Alligator mississippiensis: one gene and its partners. The protein of the gene in region 2 purifies or fractionates together with the protein of the main gene of each other region. This does not show direct contact. Links are inferred from orthologs where the notes say so. Each region holds a gene or a part of one and is shown on either strand. Other genes may lie near its edges.

Evidence for each region.
Region 1: the proteins of LITAF (region 2) and NEDD4L purify together in Homo sapiens (affinity purification with western blotting; 3 studies listed by BioGRID and IntAct, counting the BioPlex papers as one, with this or other methods). This does not show direct contact. The link is inferred for Alligator mississippiensis from reciprocal best matches to the Homo sapiens genes LITAF and NEDD4L.
Region 3: the proteins of LITAF (region 2) and NEDD4 purify together in Homo sapiens (co-immunoprecipitation; 4 studies listed by BioGRID and IntAct, counting the BioPlex papers as one, with this or other methods). This does not show direct contact. The link is inferred for Alligator mississippiensis from reciprocal best matches to the Homo sapiens genes LITAF and NEDD4.

What each region holds. Positions count from the first base shown.
Region 1 is NC_081826.1:283,189,916-283,197,593, forward strand, and holds the start of NEDD4L (E3 ubiquitin-protein ligase NEDD4-like), read right to left. Parts: upstream 3,141-7,678; 5' UTR 2,881-3,140; coding exon 1,705-2,880; intron 1-1,704. UniProt on the Homo sapiens protein: E3 ubiquitin-protein ligase that mediates the polyubiquitination of lysine and cysteine residues on target proteins and is thereby implicated in the regulation of various signaling pathways including autophagy, innate immunity or DNA repair.
Region 2 is NC_081836.1:39,426,187-39,434,380, reverse strand, and holds the start of LITAF (lipopolysaccharide-induced tumor necrosis factor-alpha factor), read left to right. Parts: upstream 1-4,897; 5' UTR 4,898-5,013; coding exon 5,014-5,161; intron 5,162-6,113; exon of another isoform or gene 6,114-6,227; intron 6,228-8,194.
Region 3 is NC_081834.1:25,833,826-25,841,238, reverse strand, and holds the start of NEDD4 (E3 ubiquitin-protein ligase NEDD4), read left to right. Parts: upstream 1-4,273; 5' UTR 4,274-4,330; coding exon 4,331-5,881; intron 5,882-7,413. UniProt on the Homo sapiens protein: E3 ubiquitin-protein ligase which accepts ubiquitin from an E2 ubiquitin-conjugating enzyme in the form of a thioester and then directly transfers the ubiquitin to targeted substrates. Specifically ubiquitinates 'Lys-63' in target proteins.

The DNA.
Region 1 (7,678 bases), on a different chromosome or scaffold from region 2:
TGTTGAAATGCTGTGGAAGCCTCCCTGACAGAGGTTTAGATGGTGTCTCAAAACTCTGGTCAACTCTAGACTAGGGCCTAAACCAAAAGACTGCCTGTGAATTACCCCAAATTTACAAAAAATTACAACTGGATTAATTTGGATTGAGCTTCACAACTCGCCCTTTTTCTCCCAAATTCCTGCACTGAAACATCCTTAAATTTCAAGGAAAATCGGTATCCAAATATGTATGCAGTTCAGGCCTACTATTACAGATTAAAACTTCTGAAAATAAAAAAAGGAAAAACACTTAATGTTTATGTGACAGAATAGTAACATTTTATTTAACATATTGAAGAGCATGTGTGAACTCCTAATGAAAGGAAAACACCAGAGATATTTTCAATAGGAGAATTCAGAATGCAAAATATCCAGAAGCTGCCAGCAAAGACACTAATCAATACATATACAAGGGGTTTTTATCTGGTACACAAATTGAACAGAAGTTTTTGTGTTCTGAATTAGAGCTTTGAGGACAAGTATTCTTGTATTCCTAATGGGTGCTGGAGTGTTAAAAAGATGGCTATCTTGGAATAACTTCCATACTATTTGTTTTTTGCTATAAAACCTGCAGAGTCATCATATGGCCTTGCTGCATTTAGCAGCTGTCTTTCTCTGCTACGTTTAACTGAAAGAGAGTGTGAGAGAATAAGGCAGTGTACAAGTAATAAAAGGCCAAAATTGTTCTAGCGAGGCTGTTTTCACAGCTGGAGATAGAATACTTACTATTCTATATACAGCATCATTAAGCTTAGAAACTCAAGTGGGCAGTGTTAAATTGCACTATAAAGCAATTCAAGCAAATGACTCCTCTACCCCCTTCAGCTTTAACCACGCTTGGGTTTTTAAAATAATTGTTTAAAATAACATAAAACACAAATTCTCCCTCATTATATGAGAAACAAGCATTATAAGACAATTTTTCACTTTATAATGCAACATCATACCCAAGATGCTGTTAAGAGACACTTATATGCCCAAGATGTACAAAACGAGACGTTACTTAGTGATGTGAAAACCGCATTTACAGTAGCCTGATCACATTTCATTAGACACTGAAGAGGCAGAGAGCACAAAACGGCATATGTGAAAAGTTTTGTTTTTTGGGGTTTTTTTGGTGTAAGAAAAGATGAAGTACAAAAGTATTTTTTGTAATAACAAAAACAATTCCAACCCCCTCATAGTTTGAAAGCAAAATTAGTTTCCTTACCAAAACTTACTATGTAATTTCCAAGCCCTAAGCTATTAGTGTATTTTGCTTTCATGTTAAGTCTGTGGGTATGTGTATGTATGTATACATATTATATTCAGAAAGCACTGTAATATTTGTTTAAAAAAAAAGGAATTCTTTGCACAGCAAAGACTAGCACGCTGCTAAGGCAATTAAGGAACAGTGACACAGGCTCCCAATCCCAAGTCTCTTCAGCTGACGTCACACTGAGTTAAGCAACATGTGAGCCATTAGGATCTCAACAAAACATTACACTTGTAATCATCACTGGGAGCAAAAGTTATTTTAGGTTAGAAATAAAGATGCTTTACAGACTGTTCCAGAGAAATGTTGAGCCTTCTCGTACTAAATGAGTGAAGATCTTTATCTGAAAATGAAGAAGCTTTACTAGATTGTATAGGTTACCAGGGAAGCATATTCAGAGAGGTACTTACTGTGGCCCTGGCTGCTGTGGGACCAGGTGTACCAGGGCTCTCCTGAGCAGGAGCTTGATTTTGTTCTTCAGGACCACGGGTTACAAGAATTCTGAAATGCTGCTGCCTTGTGTTTTGATCTGGTCTGATTTTAAACGTGCATCCCCCTTGTCCTTGAGGAATCCTTTCTACTGAATTGCTTCTAGATATTTCTGACCCATTTCTGCCATTTCCATGAAGTTCTGAATTTGCTCCATCTTCCACAGGGCTAATCTGTTCTGGTCGTGGCTGGACCGGGTAGGAAGTGCTCCTTTCCAGCCGTATCCGGGGATATCTCACCAACCTGTCTCCTTTTGTTCCAGTAAAACCAAAATTGTAATCGCCTCCTATACCCGTACCACTGGCCTGTGGCTGCTGCAACTGGAGAACAAAAAGCTTTTTTCCTGAATTTGCTGACATATCTGGCAGATGCTGCAAAGACCAGCGCCTCAGTTCAGAGGCAGGAACATTGTGCTGAGCCTCAGACCCAAAGGGCAAAAGTGTTACCTGATGCATATCGGCGCTGGAAGCACGATGCTGAATTCGTACACCACTTATGTTTAAACCTGAAGCTGCTTCACTTCCCTCATCATCTGGGGCAGTAGATGCAGCAGCATCACTCTGGTTACTGGAAGGAATTGTACAAAATATTGAATGGTTACAGGAAGCAGCTCCATTAACCTGCTGCCCTAGTTCTTCAGGCCCCCTGGGCGGTGAATTTTCTGGTGTCACTTCTGGACTGCTTGGCGAGGAAGAACAACTTTCCATGGGTGATGTCAGATTCTCCCTAAAGTCTGAGAATTTACATGGAAGCGTCTCATCTGGAGAATCTGGGGCTCCGCACTCATCAGCATAGCCATTCACCGCTTTGCGCTGAAGGGAAATGTGCATAGATGAGCTCCTTGTTGGGCGCACATCAATACTGTTCAGCAGCTGAGGAATAAACATGGACGTGCTCCTTTTTAAGGTGCCCACTTCTTGTAAATCGCTGCCACCATAATCCGCTCCATGTCGGGAGAAAGGATGAGGACTGTTTCTTCGGGGCAAAGTATGGAATGCCATGAAAAAGTCATCTTCTCTTTCGCGGTCTAGGATCTCCGATTCAGGGGCTGTGTTGCTTCGTCCAGAGCCAAAATGAAACCGCAGCCGATGGGCCATGGTTTTACAGAGAGAGAAAAAGGAGAAGGAAAACAGCAGCAATTCAGGAACTGCCAGAAGTTAAAAACCATAGACATAAACTCCAAGAAAAAGTGTCCCATCTGCCAAACTGTTAGCACTGCAGCACTGATAGCGACAGATAGCAGAAATAGCCCAAGTGGCAAGCAGCATTCCAGGCATGATTGGATAAGAGCAATCAGCGCTCCTACACACTGTCACATAGGGTAGGATGGTTGGAATCACATGACCTGGTTCCCCCTCTCCAATGCAAGCTAGTGATTTTTTTTTTTTTTTTAATACCAGCAAGAGCCTGAAACAGCACCTTCCCAGCTGCTCCTTTTCCATCAGAAAGGAGCGGCCCCAGCGGGAGAGCTCTCACAGCTGACTAAGGCAGCAAACACACTCGGCACTGCTATAAATCTAAACCACATAATATTCACAGGGCACTTTTGTACTCAGCAGAGACAGAGAGAGAGAGAGGGAGGGAGAGAGAGAGAGTTAACTAGAAAAGAAAAAACCACTCTAATTTAGTGTTAAAAAGTTTGAGTCAACGTCATACGCAGATAGGCAAGTAGAAAAGGGTTCAGGGAAGAGACAGACTCAGGCTTGATCCGTTTCGGTGGTGTCTGTTCCAACATTAGGCTACCATGGTAGAACATAAATAAATATTAGTGCATGGTTATGCTTTAGATTTTTCCTTGTTCTTAAAATGATTTAAGTAACAAACTATTTTCTCTGGAAAAGGGCACAAGTTCCACGTTGCCACTGTAAACACAGCATAGCCTATGCTACTCAGTACAGCTTATTCGCTACATAAAAACTACAACAAATAAAGAAACCTTACATATGACAAGGATTTCACACACAACGCAAGAAGCAGAAATGAGCAAAATGGCAGGAGACAGTTTCTTTTTCGGATTTACCAGGCAGCAAAGATGAGTGAAAACTGGAGACGGGTGTGCATGTAGCTTTGTCCTGATTTCCCTTAAACACCGTACAAAAACACTGCCCAGCACTGGCAGACTTCCAATGAGAAAGTTAGCAATATTACCACGAGTCTGATTGCCAGCATGGAATACAGTTATGCTTGCTAAGAGCCAAAAGAGCTCAAAGAACAACGAACAGACAGCATACAACCCAAAATTATAACATCCCCTAAAAATCAGCCCTCCAGAATCTCACTGTTTAAAAAAAAAAAAAAAAAAGGGGGGGAGCACATTTGAGGGCCCCTGGAGTTTTAATACACTTGTTCATGGTTCATACAACAACCAATTAAAAAGAATCTTCAAAAAGAAACAAAAGTATCCCCCATTCAGTAGTGCAGAGAGGGAACTTGTTTGAAAAGCACTAGTTTTGTCAACAGCTATGAAAACTTGTGGGGGTAGGTCAGCCCCCCACTTAGGCATTAAACCTCTGTTTTTCAACAGATTGCTTTCAAAAACAGAAAGTGACCAATTAGAGGAGAAATGGAAGCTACTTTAAATGACAAAATAGCCACGGGCCAGGACAATCCTCTATTGTTTTAACTGGACTATGAGCCAACAACAAGAAAAACATGGGTATTTTCTAAGCAGCAACAGTACTGAAGATTGCCTGATGCAATCCCAGGTGCTATTATTATTTTAATACACATTTCAGATGACAAAGAAGGTTTTAGACTATTTGGATGACAAAGACTTTTTGCACTAATGCTTAAAAACTTGTTACCAAATATTTTTGGTTGTGGCAGGGCTGGGTAGCAGGGGCAACCTTCTCCAATCTCACAGTTCTGTGGTGGCTATGGTACAAGTTGAACCAAAAAATGAAAAAAAAACCCTGACAAAATTAGGCTTTATACTAGTTATTTACTCCCAAAATAAACTGTAACATAGAAAAATAAGTGTTTTGGCTCCCAAAATATAGTCATAACATAGAAATCAATCTAATAAAATTCAGTTCAATGCACCCTCAGCCTAGGCACATAACTTAACACTATGATAAACTGAACCATAAGTGCTCTTTGTTTTATATATATATATATATATATATATATATATATATATACACCACACACACACACACACACACACACACACACACACACATATGCACATTAGCTCCATCTAAAAAAGCACCCCAAGTTACCAAACATAATATCTGAAACGTAAGCAAGAGAAAGGTCTCAAATGTTGCTTTGCAGTAACAGTTGAAAAATACCTTTTAAGTGACTGCCACTAAACTATTGCATTCTGGTTTGACTTCAGGAGGCGGTTAGCCAAATTAGGCAGGCAGAAGGCAGGGCAGAGTGGCACTGTGTAGACTAACAAATTAAGTGAGGTATAAGCTTTTGTAAGCAACAACTCTACTGTCAGATGCTGAGAATGGCATCATGTCCAGCCAAATTATAGCATATGATGAAGTAAGCTATTGTTTACAAAAACGTATGCCTCTGAATTAGTTTATACGGTGACACTCTGCCCTGCCTTCTGCCTGGTTTGACTCTGCACAACACTGCCCTCTGCTGCCTGGAATAAGACCCATTCAAAAGGTTATGATGTTGTCCCACCCACTGGTTAGCCTACAAAGAAGACTACAGCTAGCCAAATCTAACTAAGAATCTCCTGTAGGTCAAAGGGAGGTGGCCTATGTTTGTATAACAGATGATCCCAATTTCTCTTTTGATTAAATGCACACCAACAACCACAGAGTCCATATACCTATGTTGGGTTACTTCCTTACAATATTCCCTAGACCTTTCCCCTTAAGAGTCTGTATGTATATTCTATCTTGCACTACAGTTAATGGAGACATAGGGAAGAAAAAAGAAACTGCTTTTCTATGAATGATCTGTTTTGATGTTAAAGATCTCATAAAGTAATAAAAACATATTCCAACTACCTAGCAAAACTTATTTCCCCTCCCACTCATCCCAATATAGTACACACATTTTGCTGAAACACAATGTACTTATCCTAATCAGAGCAAAATGAACATTTTATGTAATAACACAGGAGAGTGGTGCTAAAAGTGTTGGATTTTATTTTAGTAGTTTACAAAGTATAATATGGCACCAATCTCTTCTACTTTCCCCAGAACCAAAGCATAAAGATTTTTGCACAGATACCTATTAAAGAGTGACAGCTATTTAATCTTATCAAAACGAGCAGCTCATAAGGCTTGGAAGGCTAGAATTTTCATTATAACTTCCCCATTGCAAAAGATGACCTTGGTACAGGAAAATAAATTTGAATATTGATGCTGTAAAACAGACTGATGTCCTGGTTTATGTGCGTCATTTTATGTTCCTTGGTGTAGCTGCTGAAACATCCCAGATAATATGAACTTTTTAATTAGAACAGGGGTCAGCAACCTCCTCAAGAGATTTTGTTTAGCCTGCAAAGCCAAGACATCAGGGAGAATCAGGAGTAATTTGGTGGTGGTAAATAAGAAGTGGTGGCAGCTGCTGGGTCAGAAGCAGCACCTTCTTTTCCCTCCTCCCCCCATGAACAGAGCTCTGTCAATTTGGTATGCCACTCCTAAAAAGTAGCCAAGCCCTGAATTAGGATATGTCAAAGTATCCAAGAATTTAAAGAAGCTGTGTGACATCTGTGCATGGGCCACTGGTAACACCTGAGTCAGAGTGGGGGAGGCACATGCCCCCCCCAGTGGCCAGTCAATCACTGGGGGGGTCCCCACAGCCAATCTCACCAACCGGGAAGCCAGTGGCACTCCTGTGCTTCACTTTGTGTTTAATAAAAATACAAAGAGCAGTACAAGGACTATACTCACCAATCTGTTTTCATCAAACACTTCAAACAGGAGTCGATGATTGGTTGGGTTTACCTATCAGAAAATACAAACAGTGTTACTTTACATTCATTACTTTTATGGTGACATAAGCCATTTATTGCAGTTTGTTAAATAACTAAACCACAACCATAAGGATGAGAGGCCAAAAAGCTTTGTGCCCAGCTCCAATTACGCTTAATGTGCAAGTGCAAGAATGCTTCATGCCTAAATGTGCAGCAAACATTCTAAGTTTCAATATTATATTTCTATATACAGCAATTAATAGAGCATACTATATGCTACTTTCCTGTTCCAGCAGAAAACTCCAAAGGAGAGAGATGTGGCTACTGCATACCAAGAGAGCTATCCTACCAGGCATAGGAGGCTCCATGGTTACTGGACCATGAAAGTCCCTAGATGGCCAGACTGATGGGACTCTGGGGACTTCATTAGTACTGCAGCTGCAAATCCTAACAGGTGATGCACCAAACAGATTTTTAAGAGGCTGTTTCTCTTTTGGCCTGGATTCTGAGATTTTTCATTCAGAAATATACTGTCTTTCTATTATTTACCCTCTGTTCATCTATCTATATGTGGTGACTATTCACCACAAGGAACACTTTGTAAAACTGAATTAAAGGTAGACCACACACACTGTGCATTTTCAGAAAACTTTCCCAATACTGTAGCCAAGGAACAAATACTCCTCTGAATATAGTGGGCTATTCCCAATATTCTACTTGAGGCAACACAAAGAAGATAATCCACACTGGGAAGACACATCTGTGAGATTCAGGGGAAATTCCAAATTTAACTATATTGAGGAGTTTGAGCCACCTTGTGTATGAATTCATTGGGTTTATTTCTGACCAGGAGTTTAACATGTTTGTGTAGTACCTGTTCTGCTGTTAAAGCAACAAGACTTCCAGTAGTCTGGATCATTACAGAGTCCTAAACTGGCCAAGGGCAAGCCAGAGAATATCAGTGAAATCATAAATGCAAGCATATATAGCCAGTTCCTACAAGTCCT
Region 2 (8,194 bases):
GCTGTGAAAACAAAAGCTAATATGCCTAGTGCATTTGCAAAGGCATTTCTCATTCCTGAGGTTAAACTGACATCTACTGGTGTCCTGTAATAGTTAATATACTAATAAAAGCAATTAATTTAATTTACAGGAATCCATTATAGTATTTTTTTTTTACCACGAATGAAATATTTCTGGTTTAGTTTCATCATATCTTTCCTCGCTTTGTTTTTGTACCAATTGACTTCTTAAATTTCAGTAAAAACAACATTCTAAGAAGTAGCCACCTCATGTGGAGAATGATTTCCCTTTTTTTTTTATTTTAGGAAATTGTGTATAGGTCATTTTATAAGAAAATGAGTTGTCTGAACTCTATAAGCAAGAAAAACTTCAGTGTTCCCTTCAGTGAAATACACACCACTGTAACAATTTAGAGCAGGATAAGATCTCAGAAATACCTATTTTCTAAAAACATGCCAGGTGGTCTGGACTATTGATATCCAGCTGAGATGCGGGATCAAATAATATACTTAACCCAGCTGTAGCTAAATCAGGACACATTGGTTAAGAAAATCCTGTTCAGTTCTTGGAGAGGGAAAAGTGTCATGATATCATAAGATCTTCCTTCCAATAACAAACCATAATCAAGATGTCTGTTTGTCTCATCTGAAAGAGCAGTGTAGTATTCTCAGGTTTCATAATGAGGTTCAGTCCTGGATGATAGGAAAGAATGGGGAGTATTGAATCATTTACCTGCAGGAAAGCAGATTTGTTTTTTTTGTGGGTTCTCATCAAGTACTCACCAGATCTAATTGTGCTTGATTTGAGATTATTTGAACACAAAGCCTTGGAGAACAGAACTGCAGGGAACTCAGCAGAATAATGCAACTGCAAAGCATACTATTAGAAGTCCTGTTGCCATTTTGAATGTAACTTTACTCTTACTAAATTCTAAACCTGGCTCCAGGATGCATTTGTATGAATGTTTCATGCAGTTAACTCAAGACCAGCTCCAAGATTGTGATCTCCGTGTATGACTGCACCCACTTCAGACAGGGCTGAGCCTAAGTCACATCTAAATCTGGGTGTGATCCAGAAACTAGGTATTCCTCCACATTGGCCCCCGGAGGACTTGATCTCAGAGCACACCTGTAAGATTTGGCTGCTAACCAACAACTGAAGTTGCAGATACCTTTCTTTTACAGTATAGATAAAAGTAGTGATGTTTGGAGCACTCCTTAGAGAAGTGGTGCAGTCAGATTTAAAACCCTTCCTAGCTGAAAGGGTTCAATCCCTATGTCCCAGGAGAATCCCCATAACCCATGTCTCAGGCCTGTTTTACCAGGCCATAGGCAGTTGGGCATTCCTTTTCCTGAAGCGATGCCAATGTGCAGAAAAGAATTAAAGCTTCATTAGCTAGAAAGGGAAGAAAAAGGGAGCATGACACTAGACTTGTGATAAGTATACTCACCAGGGAGACCTGGAGCCTAATCCCCGAATGACAGTTGCAAAGGAGGTGCAACAAGTGTTATTTGGCACAGCAGTGTCCAAATGAGATGTGGAGGTAGCTAACTTGGATACATCAGCTAGGGTTTGCCAGGAACACCTACATACCTTATACAGGCAGTCCTCAGACTTACGACACAATTGGTTCCTGAAAACCGTGTCTTAAGTCGAAACGTTGGAACTAGTAACCAATTTTCTCATAAGAAACTATGTTATAAATGGGGGATTGGTTCCTGAACCAAGGCCCAGTACCCTATTTTCACCAAAAATACCCTAGAATTTTGTATTCGATCAATTATAGATGAGTAATGTAGCTACATTAATATATTTATATTGTAAATAACAATCATAATGATTTGGAAGGACTTCCTTGAGGTGACTTTGCTGGACTCTTTAAAGGGCTCTTGGTTGGACTTTTTGAAGGGTTCTTGGCTGGAGTCTTCTCAGGAGTCTTGGCTGCAGGTTTTTCTGGAGTCTCGTCTGCTTTCTTAAAGAAAGTGTCCAAGGAAGTTTGGACAGATGTTCTCCAGGGAGATGAGTGAAGCCGCGAAGTTGTTCGTTGGCATGGCATTGCATTGGATCAAGCGTTGCAAGTCAAAATTGGTGTTGTAAAGTTGAAACAGGGTGTCAATTTATAAATGTTGTAAGTGCAAAATGTTGTAACTCAAAACGTTATCAGCTGAGGACTGCCTGTACATTTCTGGGGTGTGGCTCACACTTAAGCCCAGCAGAAGCTTCCCGGCTTTGAATTCAGATATGATCAGTGCTGTGAATTAAAATTGCAAATTCACCAGAATAAGCTAAACAAGTTGCTTGAAATCTGTAGATAGTAAAATCAGTAAAAATGTAGATGGTGAAATATTACACGTGGTAAACAAATGCATGCTCCTCAGTATGCTTCGTTGCATTGACAATATGTTGTCATTAGAAGCCCCCAGAGTCACTAGATCTACTGACAAAAATCACTGAATTGGCAACGTTAGAAGTTGGGTGCAAATTACGGGGGAGCTTGGGGAGGGGAGGAGGAGGCAGACACTCCCCATAAGAGACAAGAGCCCCCCTGTACGATTTGAAAATCATAACCTGGGGGGGTCTCCAATTGGATTGCTCCTTCCAATGAACCAGTTTAATTTTTTTCGCAGACCCCCCCCAGTCAAAGTGTAATCTGAACCCTGACTAGAAGTAATGGGTGCATCCTCCTGCAGCCAGAAGGAAAAGCCTAAAACCCTGTGAAGGGATGGAAAGTAAACTACTCTGCTGTCTCCAGGACTCCTGGGGGCTGGTTTCATGCCTCCCCATGCAGCATGCTGCCTATTGTGAATCCCATACTGAGGTGCAGTTCTCGGGCACTGTACAGGCAGTCCTCGACTTACAACATTTTGAGTTACGTTTCACACTTATAACGTTAATAGATTGACACCGTTTCAACTTTTTGACGTCCGTTTCGACTTTACAACACTTGATCTGACCTGACGCCATGCCAGTGAACAGATTTGCTGTGCCGCCCATCTCCCTGGAGAACATCTGTCCAAACTTACTTGGATACTTTCTTTAAGACAGCAGACAAGACTCCAGAAAAACCTGCAGCCAAGACTCCTGTCAAGACTCCAGAACCCTTCAAAAAGTCCAACCAAGAGCCCTTTAAAAAGTCCAGCAGTCACCTCAAAAAAGTCCTTCCAAATCAATATGAATGCTATTTACAATATAAATATATTAATGTAGCTATATTACTCATCTATAATTGACTGAGTACAAAATTCTGGGTTATTTTTGGTGAAAATAGGGTACTGGGCCTTGGTTCAGGAACCAATTCCCCATTTATAACATTGTTTCCTATGGGAAAATCGGTTCCGAGTTGCAACGTTTCGACTTAAGATGCGGCTTTCAGGAACCAATTGTGTTGTAAGTCTGAGGACCGCCTGTATAGGTACTTTATCCAGAGCAGTGTATTGAACTCCAGGAGCAAGAAGCTCAACCTTTATGCACTGCAATATTTAAGTCCCTCCAGCCTTAAGTTCCTCCAGTCAGGGTCAGACCAGTCTAGTTGGGGTCAGGAAGGAATTTTACACCATGGTCAGTTTGGTATGTTTGGGTGGCTGTTCCAGGAGCCTGGGCACAAATCCAGCTTCGCCCTGATAACCTGCCCAAGGGGGAGAGGTTGGCCTTCCTCTGTAGCAGGGCGGCACGGCTTTCTCCTTGGGATCTCTTGAGCATAAAATGACATTCCATAGAAGTAAGACACTGGCTACCATGGATCCCCTGCTTTACCTGTGGCACAGGTTACGGTGTTAGGTCTGTGCTGTGTCTTTGTTGATGGTAGTCTTAAATAAAGTTTATATCAGGGGTGGACAAAATATGGCCTGTGGGCTGGATCTAGCCTGTCAACATACTTGGCAGGCCACCAAACTCAGTGGATCTGGCCTGCAGCTGGTGGCTCCAGCTGCTGTGGTTCCAGGTGGGCGGGTGGCACTGTTTCTGCCCAGCAGCATCAGCTGTGGACTCAGGTGAGGCCTTCTACCGCAGCAGGTGGGCAGCAGCATCAACTGTGGACACCACCGGCAGGTTCAGGAGCCCCAACTGAGAACCTGCTGGTGGATGCACAGCTGATGCTGCCACCTTCCCAGCACAGTAGAAGCTCCTGCCTTGAGCCCCAACCAGGAACCTGCTGCCAGTAGCAGCTGTGGACCCAGGTAGCAGCTTCAGTGGCACTGGGTTGGCGGTGGTGTCAGCTGTGGCTGCTGCCGGCAGGTTCTGCATCAGGGCTCTTGAATCTGAAAGCAGTGTCCACAGCCTGCCTGCCCACCATGGCAGAAGTCCCCATCTGGGCCTACAGCTGGGCACTGGGGCTCCTGGCAAACTACAGCTCACACGAGGATCTGGAGGGAGGGAGAGAGAGGGATTAGGAGAGAAGAGCGAGACACAGAGAGAGGGATGCGGCCCTCAACGGGTCACCAAGACTCATGAGTGGCCCCACAGCAGAAATACCTCCTCCCCCCTAGCTTAGATTGTGAGTTGTAGGGGACGGTTTGGATAGGGACAAGAATGCTCCTGCCTCAGGCAGCGGGTTGGACTAGCGGAGCCCTGGAGGGCCCTTCCCGCCCCGCTGCCCCAGGCTCGCTTTTCCGTCCTGGGTTAGAGGGAGAGGTGCCGAGAGGAGCGTGGCTGCTGCCTGGAGCCTCGTGGCGGGCCGGTTCCCCAGCGGGGGGGGTTTGACTACTACTGTTCGTGACCGGGGTTTAGTTGCAGCCGCTGGCTTCCAGCCCCGCGGGGAGCCTTCCCGCCCGTCTCCAGCCCCGGCCCGCGGGGCCGCCCCGAAGGACGAGCGCGCCCTGTGCCGGCCCCGGCCCGGGGGAAGCTGCGCTGCGCGCCGCGGCGGACCAGCGCCGGCCTCGGCGGAGGGGAGCGCAGCGCAGCGGAGGCCGGGCCGCCCCGAGCCCGCGGAGACGGGGCGGGCGGCAGGGCACTGGCCAAGCCTCGGCCCTGAGCCGTGGCGGGGGGTCGGGTCCGGCTGTCCCCCCGGGCCGGGTTATGAACTTCCCCCCCGCGCCGGTGGATCCCGCCGCCGGGGGAGGGGGCCGGGCAGGAAGGGGCGAGGCGAGGCGGAGCCGGGCCGGCCTTGGGCTGCGGCAGCTTCGTGGGAGCCGGGGAGAGACGGTGGGAGCCGCGAGCCCGGCAGGTAGGCGCGGCGCGGCGCCGCCCAGGGCCTCCCGCGGGCCGGGGCCGGGGCCAGGCCGGTGTCTCGGGCTGCCGTCGGGGGGGGGCGCTGCCCGCGGCCGCCGGCTCCTCGGCGCGGGGCTCCGGGCTGGCAGGCGGCGGAGGTGGCCCCGCAGTGACAGCGCCGAGCCCCCCGCGGCGCCTCCCCCCGGGCCGGGGTCGCTGCCTGCGCCGAGCCCCGCCACCCGCTCGCCGCCCGCCCCTCGGAGCTGGGCCGCCCGACGCCTCCCCCGCTCGTAGCCCCGCTTCCTGAGCCGAGTCACATGTCGGGCGGTTGTTTTCCCTTGCGGTCCTTATCGCTAACTCCGAGCTGCCGCCTGCGTGGGGCCCCGGACATGGTTTAAAGCGGGCTGGGGGCGCCGGGCTCCCCCGGGAAGCCTTGGACGCGCGTCGGCCCGGCGCCGGGCTCGCCCAGGAGGGAAGCGGGCGCCGCTCACTTGGGCTTAGTTCGGCTGCTCGGGACGAAGTGACCCTGCGGCTCCTTGGGCGTTTTTTAAGGAAAAAGCCCCCCCTCGCCCCCCCATAGTTGGCTCTAATTCCAGAGAAAAACCTTGGCCTGCAATTGGCCCTTAAACAGCCCAGTTCAGAAGTGAGTCACCAAGGCAAGGACCCAAAGGGGGAAAGGCACTAAAAATACTAAAGTGAACATTGAAAAAAAATGTGACTTGGTATTTTTATTGCATGTACAAAAACTACTGGAAGTTCAAAAGTCAAGACTGGGAGGGAGCCCGATGTAGACTGACGGTGTGCCAAAGTCAAGTTCAAGTCTGGGTTTTTAGGAGGAAAAAGGCAGACTTTTACCATCTAAACAATAGGGGAATTTGGTGCTCAGGTTTAATGAACTTTAATTAACAGGCTTTAAGGTCACACCTTCAGTTAATTCAACTTCACTTTTCCAAGCGACTCAGTGGACACAAGCTCAAAAAGAAGCAAAAGTGACTAGGTCGTGTACGTACCTGGTTGTATTACAAGTGCAAAAACGCGGGGCCAGAAGCACAAGTTTCATCAGATAACATTTTAATAAGCAAGTAAGATATTTTTAAGAGGAAGTTTTGAGATAGGAAGCTCAATAATAGAAATCAAATAACTGATATATTTTTATTTTTAAAATGCACAGTGCTGTTGTTCCTGTATCTAAGCTTACAGAATTCTTTAAATTATTCCATTTATTGCTTCTCAAATAACATCATAACCTGCAATGTTTGAAACCAATACCCAAAGCCAGAGCAGAATTCCAGTTATGCCAGTCATAAAACTTCTTCAGTAGGACGCTATATAGGATCCTGCTTTTGAAGGGCATCGCCACACCCAGAGACCTACTCAAATTCACAATTTCATGGAACCTGTGAAATTGGGCATTGTTCGTGAAATCCTCTAAATTAAAAAAAATCCTAAAAATAAAATGCTGGCCTCCCAGTGGGAGGGCAAGCTGCTGGCAGGCAGAGTGGTCCCTGGGCTGCAAGGGGGGGTGTTGGTGCTTCCCTCCACAGCAGTGGTGGACCCCCTCCAGGAGGCACCGGGCTCAGGTGGTCCCGGGGGTCACTGCAGCCGTGGAGGGAAGGATCAAGTCCCCGTGCAGGCTCTCTGGGAGGGTGTGGGGAATCAGGCTTACCGCTTTTCTTTTCTTTTTTTTCTTCGGTGGAGCCTGTCTTTCTGGGCTGCTGCCTGGCTGCTTACACGAACTGCCTGCACAGCCCCTGAGCCGCACGGAGCCTGGTGCTTCGCTCCATGGCTGTAGGGCAGCAAACTAAAACTCCTTGGAGGTGTTAGTTTGCTGCGCCCCAAAGTCATTTAAGGTATATTACGCCACGAAATGTGCTACAGCAGCTGGAATTAACGCACAATACGCCACTGATGTGTGCAAACACCAATGCCATTAAAGCGGTGCAAAAGCATTTAACTTGCTTTAAAGTGTCGTGCACACATGCCCAATAGCAACTGCCTGAAAAGGATTCTGTTTAACTAAGTAGTTGACAAGTTATGGAAAGCCTTATTGTTCAGAACATGAAAAACTTTATCTGTACAAGTGTTTATTAGTTTGTTGCTCTTCTACTGAAAAATTTTGGGTGCCCTGACAAACCAGTATATATAGTCTGGTGTCAGAGGGAAAGACTAGTTTATGTCTGTGTTTTCGTAAGTGTCACTAATGACAATGATGACACCTAGATACGTCTGTGCTGCACTGTGGGGAGGGCCACGTACATAAGCCATGTGCATGTTCGGGTGACTAGCGCAGGACTCACTAGTGAACAAGAGCCTGAGTAGTTGAAACCAAAACAGAGAAGGGCAGGTCAGACATTCAGAGGTCAAGAGGAGGGGGCAACCATTCCCCCCCACCCCGATGGATTTGAGATTCACTTCATACTAGGAAAATACTTTGTATTTTTTAGATCATTCTCTTGATTCTTTTCCTTACCAAGTATACAGGTGAGTTTTATTTCTTCTACTTTTTCACTCCAAGCAGTGCCTGCCCTAGTTCTGATAAAAGATATAGGTTTCCTTCACTTTATGTGGCTTCTGTATGTGCAAATTTGCTCTTATGAGACTATCCTTTTTATACCAACAATTTGTTACATGCGAGGCAAATTCATTCTTATGTGACTGGTGTTGTGCAAATGCACAGTCAGCTGCCATGTGCAGTGCATCGTGGGAGTGACGCACAGCAAAATATAGTCTCCTGTGTGGATCTGTGCTCCTTGCTTGTCTGCCCCACGTGTTTCTGTAGTTGCCTTCCCCATTATGATAGTGCCATGTGCTTGTGTGCACTGTCTGCTGTTAGCTAGTACCAAAATTGTCTTGTAAAAGTGGTAGAAATGGGTCTGGGGGTCAGTACAGTCAAGGTCTTGGAACATATCCCTGTTTGTTACATTGTAAAGTGGGTTCGCTTTATGCAAAATTCAAGTTATGCGCCGTTTTCCAGGAATGCATGTACAGCATAAAGCGAGGGAAACCTGTATCTGCACCAACATTTAGACTACTCATGCACTGATTGAAT
Region 3 (7,413 bases), on a different chromosome or scaffold from region 2:
TCAAATGCACCATCTTTACATGTGTACCTACAACCCTTCCCAGCCGTGGTTGTGTCATTTGATGGTGGGAAGATCTGGGTAGCTAATTATCTTGCCCCTTCCCTCCCCAACACTTGCACCCAAATCAAAGGCTTGGGGCTCTTTTCTCTGTTTAATGGGGAAAATAACCTTATCTTGGATTTGAATAAATATGGTAGATGAGCTCTAAACCAGGCATGTGAGAAAATGAAAGTTTATTAAAGCAACTCTCCTTAATCTGAATACTGGTTGGTATAAATGACTACTACTTACTTATAGAGCAGTTTAGTGTTGGAGACATGGTATACACAACTATATGACAAATAAAGTCAGACAAGGTTCTTTGGGTGAATCTGATATCTTTTATTAGACCAACTTAAATAGTTGGAAAACAATTATTAGGCAGGCTTTCAGGTTCAAAAACCCTTTGTCAGGCTAAGGAAGTTTCAGCAGTTGGTGTGTGTTCTTCCTGGATGGAATGAAAAGTAAAGAAGCCAGCAGCTGGGCTGGTATGCATGCAAGACAGGTAGTCAGTGAAAATGTAGATTGAGGAGTCAATTGGTGAGAGATGGGCTGGGGAGGGGCAGGGGAAGAGAGAGAAGGGGGATAAAAGTGGAGAGATACCTGGGAAGTCAGATGTCAGGCAGATGATAATGTGTCATAAATCCAATGTCTATATTTAGTCCATGATTTTTAGTATCCAGGAGGTTGATGAAGTTGAGTTCATAGGCTCATCTCTGGGAAGTGTTGTGTAAGTTTCCTTTGAGGATCAGGACTGAGAGATTGGGGAGAGAGTGGTTTTCTTGTGAGAAATGTGCCCCCACAGGTAATTAGGTATTTCTGTCTTTGGTAGATTTCCAGCGTGCGTTCATTCTGGTGCGCAGTTATTGTTTGGTCTCTCCTACGTATTTTCCATCATGGCATTTGGTGCATTGGATGAGGTATATTCCATTTCTGGAGGTGCAGCTGTAAGATGCAGGAATGGTGATGGCTCTGTTGTGGGGTGTAGTAATTGTGGGGGTGGTAGAGATGTGTTGGCAGGTTTTGCATTTCTTGTCATGGCACGGTTTGGATCCTTTTGGTGTGTTCTGGGCTTGAGGAAGTTTGCTTCCGGTGATGAGGTTAGCGAGGTTCGGTGCTTGTTTGAAGGCTAGGATGGGTGGCTCTGGGAAGATCTTTTTAAGAATAGGGTCTCTTTCTAGTATGGGTTGCAATTGTTTGAGGATTTTCCGTACAGGTTCAAGGGAGGGGTGATATGTCATAACCAGCGGTGTGCGATTTGTGGGGGTTTTTCTTTTGTACTGCAGCAGTTCTTTACGTGGTATCTGGGTGGCTCTTTCAAACGTGCGATCTCTCTCTCTGGAGGAGTGTCCTTGTTGGGTGAAAGCCTTTTTAAGATTGGTGAGGTGGAAATCCCGGGTGTTCTCTTCAGTGCAAATTTGGTGGTATCTGAGGGCTTGGCTGTATATCACAGCTTTTTTGGTGTGTTTAGGGTGATTGCTGGTTCTGTTCAGATATGTACGTTGGTCTGTGGGTTTCTTGTATAACGTGGTCTGTATTTTATCATTCTGGATACTGATCATCGTGTCTAAAAAGGAGACGTTGGTGCTGGAGCATTCTAGAGAAAGTTGGATGGAGGGATGGTGATTGTTGAATTTCTGATGGAACTCAGAGATCATAAGTTTTCAGTCCACATGATGAAGATGTCATCGATTATATCTTAAGTATGGCAAGGGTTTGATGGTGCAGTTCTTGAGCAAGTCTTCTTCTAGGTGGCTCATAAAAAGGTTGGCATACTGTGGGGCCATTTTGGTGCCCATAGCTGTTCCCATCATGACAAATAAAGTAGCACTGACCAGTATTATAAGTGTTGCAAACATTCCTGAATATGATATTTGAAAGACTGATCTTTAGCATTTCCTATTGACTTCAGCAGGCCAGAATTCTGCATCAAGAGCCATATAATTTTGGTCAACTAGGCCATAATGGAGGTCCTTTTTTAAATAGCTAAGTTGACTAAAGGACGTCATGACATTTGGCTTAAATTTGACACCCTAGTTGGTGAAACTACTGTCAGCTTACTTCTTCTCCCATTTTACCATAAGTATAGGGGAAAAAATATTTAAAATTGTATAGGCATGGAGAAGGGGAGGGGGAAATGTTGAGCCTAGTACCATCCCTCAGATCTTGTTTCGAAAACGGTTGCGCTCTGGTAGGTATTTAAAATGCTGTTTTTCTTTGAATTAAAATTAATAAACGTTAAGGTGCTTATAGAACCACTTTTGCTTCTGTAAAAAATGAAATCTTCCTGCTTTCCTTCAAATCTTGAGACTTGAGGAAAATAAATTGCTTGAAAACTAAACATAGCTTTCTAAAGCTGTGAACAAAAAAAAGCTTTTGGGGGTCTTTGACCTCTTTTCCTCCTCTTAATGTTCAGTTTGAAGAATTCTGGTTAGTGATACCTGAAAAATAGCTGAACTATTGTATTTTGTTGCCTTTTTTATGAATTAGCTAGCATGTATGTATTGTTGCATCTGTCAACTTTGGATAATGAAAGGGTTAAATGAGCCCAGGAGTATTATTAAAAGATAAACTTGTTTCATTTGAATAATGTACTACAGACACTTAATTACTGGTTTCTTGTGTTGGGAGAAGGTAAAATTTAATTTTATTGCATGCAGACTGAAAATACTGTAATGGTTAAGTAAATATTGAGTAAGAAAAAAAGCCATCAGTATGACCTATTAAAATATATATATAAATGGTCTAGTGTTCTCTACTGTTTGGACTTTATCAACAGCAGTAAATAATCCCATGTTAGCATGGTAGGGTTTAGCACTGCATGATGCATGGCTTCTGTATTCAGAAGTACTTTCATGAACGGACGTTTACCTCAGACGCTCGTAGTAACAGTAAGAGTGTCAATTTTAAAAACCTCCACCAGGTGCCAGCAAAGGGCCTTTTTGGTCTACATGATAAACTGAAACACTCAGAAATTGTCCAAGTTAGTTCAGTTTTACATTTTTGGAAAATACTGCCAATATGTTTTTGCTTGGTTACAGATGAATTGTTATATAAAACAATCACTTTTACATGAGCTAACTGTGAATATAACTTAAAAGTCTGCATACAATAATTGTTATAGTGTAGCTTGGAAGCCATCTCTTTCCTGTCGGTTGTACCTATTGGATTGCACACTTGTACTGCAATTGGGAGGGAAAAAATACATTGTGAAATTCAGATTTATGTCTGCTTCTGGATGAATAGCTACAAACAAACTTCAGGAGTCGACATGCCACTAAATAACCTGGCTATCTAACCTTTTTTAAATATCCAAAGAAGCTAGTGCCGATCAGGAATTGCTGGCCAACAAACCGGATATTTCAGTTTGAAATGTATGGATTAGGAAAAGTGGATGATAATGCTAACAAAGCACAGCTTTGACTTGGAAAGGGGTTGGATGTACACATTTCAGAAAAACATTTGGAACCTTGAATGGTAAATTATAAAGTGGACAGTTTTATACTTAATTTTAACTCTTCTGCATCTTGCTTAAAACAAAAAGCTAACTAAAACGGTAGAGGGCTCACCTAATTGACAATCAATGTTATGTATGATTACTGAGTAACTTTAAGATTCCTGAAATAACTTCTGTTTTTTTAACCTTTTATTAATACAAAATTGGTTAGTTTTATCGGCATATGCCAATATTCAAACTTTCACAAGTTTTTTAGCATGGCTACTATTTGGAAATTCAATGCTAGATTTGGTACTCTGTTATATGGGACTTCATTCCTACCAACTTCCTGTAATTCTAAACCTCTGGGTAAAAATATTAGTAGTCATACGCTGCTGAGGGAAAGTACGGACAAATTGACTCAGCTAGTGTAGCTGCAGCAGGAGTTGCTGTTTTAAACTTGAAGCATTAGGAGATTATTCTTGAGTTGTATTCATTTATGCAACTTACAGAAGGTATAATTGCAATACGCTTGGCAGTATTTGTCAGAATGCGGCAGCTGAGTTCAGTTTAAAGGTCGTTGGAACTCAAGTGCTTTGTGTGTATGCTCTCTGACTACAAGCAATCAGACAGTCCAGAAACTGCATTTCAGGGAATGGATGATTTATTCCAGGAGGTAATTTTTGTATAATAGTTAGTATCTTGTAGAATTTCGTACGAAGTCTGCAACCTTAATGGGCTTTTACTTTTGTGATGTACTTGAACTGGATCTAGATTCTATGAAGTTGCCTTAAGTTATTCTGCAGAAGGAGCTTTATGGTTTTCATTTGCTAACATGTGTAGAAATGAGTACAGATGGCACGAAGGTTAAGATTGCATTTTGCAGCCCGAAGAAGCAACACCGATCCACTGTCAGAAACCTCTGAAGATGACTTGGATAATAATATTTATATGCATTTCAAAAGATCTTCACAGAATTCTGCATCTAATGTCATAGAAATGAAACTGACTCCCAGGCAAGCAGTCTTTCCACCTGTAATGCAAGAAATAATTAATCAACAGCAAAGCGCAAGTGGTTCTTCGCTGCAAAAAAACAACAAAAAGAGCACTTCACTTCAGATTTCCCTGCAGTCTAGAAAGTACAGTGGATGTCTTCAGTCTGGTGATACAGTGGCTACTAATGAGGATTCATCATTCACTGGTGTCGGCAATGAAGGAAACTGTTCTGGGAGAAATATTGCTGATTATCCATCTAACATGATAAATACTACCAGCCACTTGAGCAGCACTACCATGTTGAATGGCAGTCTTGGCAGTATTGCAGCCAGTGACAATGGATCCTTCAGTAGTGCTGGCAGTGACTATGGATCATGCACAAGTACCACAAGTGATGGAGGTTCACACTGCAACAGTGTCCTTAGTGACAATAGTAGTTGCGCTCTTTCCACAGGTGATGGTATTTTTTATAATAGCATTGTGTATGATAACTCTTCGTATAGAAGAACTACAAACAAATATAATTCCTATAGGAAAGATGCATCTCAGGAATGTTTGTGTCGAAGTAATACTATTTTTGACCAAGATGGTTTGGAGCAAATGAAATTGTCAGCAAGGAGGAAAACTAAAGTTCCACTAAGACGTTGTTCATCATTGGTAATTTTCCCTCGAAGCCCTTCCAGTACTCCACCAATGTCTCCAACAAGCTCAGGTCCTCCACCACAGAGTGTGGCATATCAGACCTCACATAAACTAGTTATTTCTCCAAGTGACCTAGCACAACATGAAAATCAAACTGGTAATAAGGAGTTTCTTTCAACAGCAGTCAATGGACTTCGACTCTCTAAATCTGCTTTTTCTCCTGGTGAGGTTAGAGAGATTAGACCACTTTACTTGAATACTTCATTACAGGCCAAAAGTCAAGCCACAGATAGTTCTGAGCAGGCAACTTGTGAAGAAACATCTGATGGCTTCTCTTGTATTTCAGTTCACCTTACTCAAAAAGTATCTACATCAAGGGATGAAATGGTTAATAGTTGTGGCAGTCCAGAATCAAATCTGAACTCTAGTGCAGAGTGCCCTCATTTAAAACTGACACATAGCACATCTGCGTGTTTACCCTCAAAAAGCCATTCAGAATATCGGATTAATGAAAACGAACTAAAAAGACCTAATATTCAAATGAACAAAACCCACCATTTTCTGCAAAGAAGCATGTCCTTAGAAGGTTCTTGCCAGAAAGTTTCTTGCTATTTATCTAGCCTTAAATACAAGTGTCCTAAGGCAGGGGCATCTCACTTGCACATACAGTTTCGACCTGGGAATGAAGGAAAAACTAATGGCTTTAAAAAAAGAAATGGAATTTCCAAAAGGGAAATGTGTAACAGGACTTTGTGGAAGCCCCTCAAGGTGAGTAGTTTTAGATTAATGAAAAACTGACAGGAATCTTTTCCAGGGGAATTGTAATTAGTAAATTGTTAAGCTTTCTTTTTCCCTCACAGCATGAACACAAGCCTTTTATGAATGTTTATATTCTTGAAACAGTTTGCAATAGTGTATTTTTAACCTAACTTTCAGTTGATCTTTCCTAGTGTCTGGCACTTTTGGTGAAAATTCTTATGGTGACATGCTTCAACTTTTAAATCCTAACTCATTTCCTATTTACTTGGTTTTTCTTTCCATCTGGTAATTAGGTCTTAAAGTTCTCCTAGGGTTAGCTCAGATCTTATTTTAAGCTTTAAATGTATATGTTTAATATATAGAAATAATTTTACTGAAATATCTGGACCTAAAATGGTTAAGAATTAACTAGAGTACTGTGGAGTCCTTCAAATTTGTTTCATATAAACTTTATTTTGCAGAAACAGCTTGCTGTCTGTAGAATTAAAGATAAGTAATATTTGAACAGAGGAACTGTAAATACCATTTGTTTCTGTTACACCCTGAACCACAGGAATTTTAAGAGTTTCCTCCCCTTTTTTTCTCCAACCACTAGTTCAGCTTTAGCTGTGCACTTTAACTTAATATCTTTTCCAACAACATTGCTGTCCACATTATGGTACTTGGCTTTGGTAGTCTTTATATTTAAAAATATTATTTGGTAATAAAATGTGTTTAAACTTCAGAAATTTGTTCATTTTAATTAATTCATGATGTAGCTTTCACACACAGGCAGGTTACGCCACAAGAAATCCAGAGGTGGGTGGAGAGAGTATCATCTGCTCTTTTACGTCACTCATCTTACAAATCTTCAAACTGTACAGTGTGCTTAGTTGTAAGCCTATGCTGGCAAAAAAATGCAATAATTTGACACCTCTTGCAAAAACGCATGACCTGAAGTTATAAATAAACGCTAGTTTTAATTATTTTTGCTACCTTGTTGATGTAAGTGAAGGGAGCTGCCAGTGATTTACCAATAGTGCTAATCTGGAGAGTCAAAATAGAATTTCCAGGCAATACAGTCTTGTGGACCTTGTTTATTTCACTGTTTTCAAGGAAATTATTGCTTAGTTAGTGCCAATATCAAGAGTCCTTTTTGTACTTCTTATTAAAGTTAGTAAGCGTAAAGTGAACACTTTATGTATATGTATACATATGTGTGTTCACTTTACGTTTACATTAAGTGTACACTTTTTATATAGATATATAGATATTTGTTTAAATTGCATCATCAAAATACAATGGAACAGAATCTGTGTGTGTATTGTTTTGGAATATCTTTGGGGAGACAGGGAATGTTCATGCCAGCACTGCTATTTTAAATATTTTGTTTTCAAATATTCCTTAATGTACCTACTCTTTTGTAGTTTGACCATATTTATTATAAAGTAGCCAATTGCCCATCAAGGATGACAGGTGTGGGGGGAGCGGGTGGGGATGGAGCCCTGGGCCCACTCCCCCTTCCCTCCTGCTGTTTGGGGACTGGACCCGCTCCCCCCTTC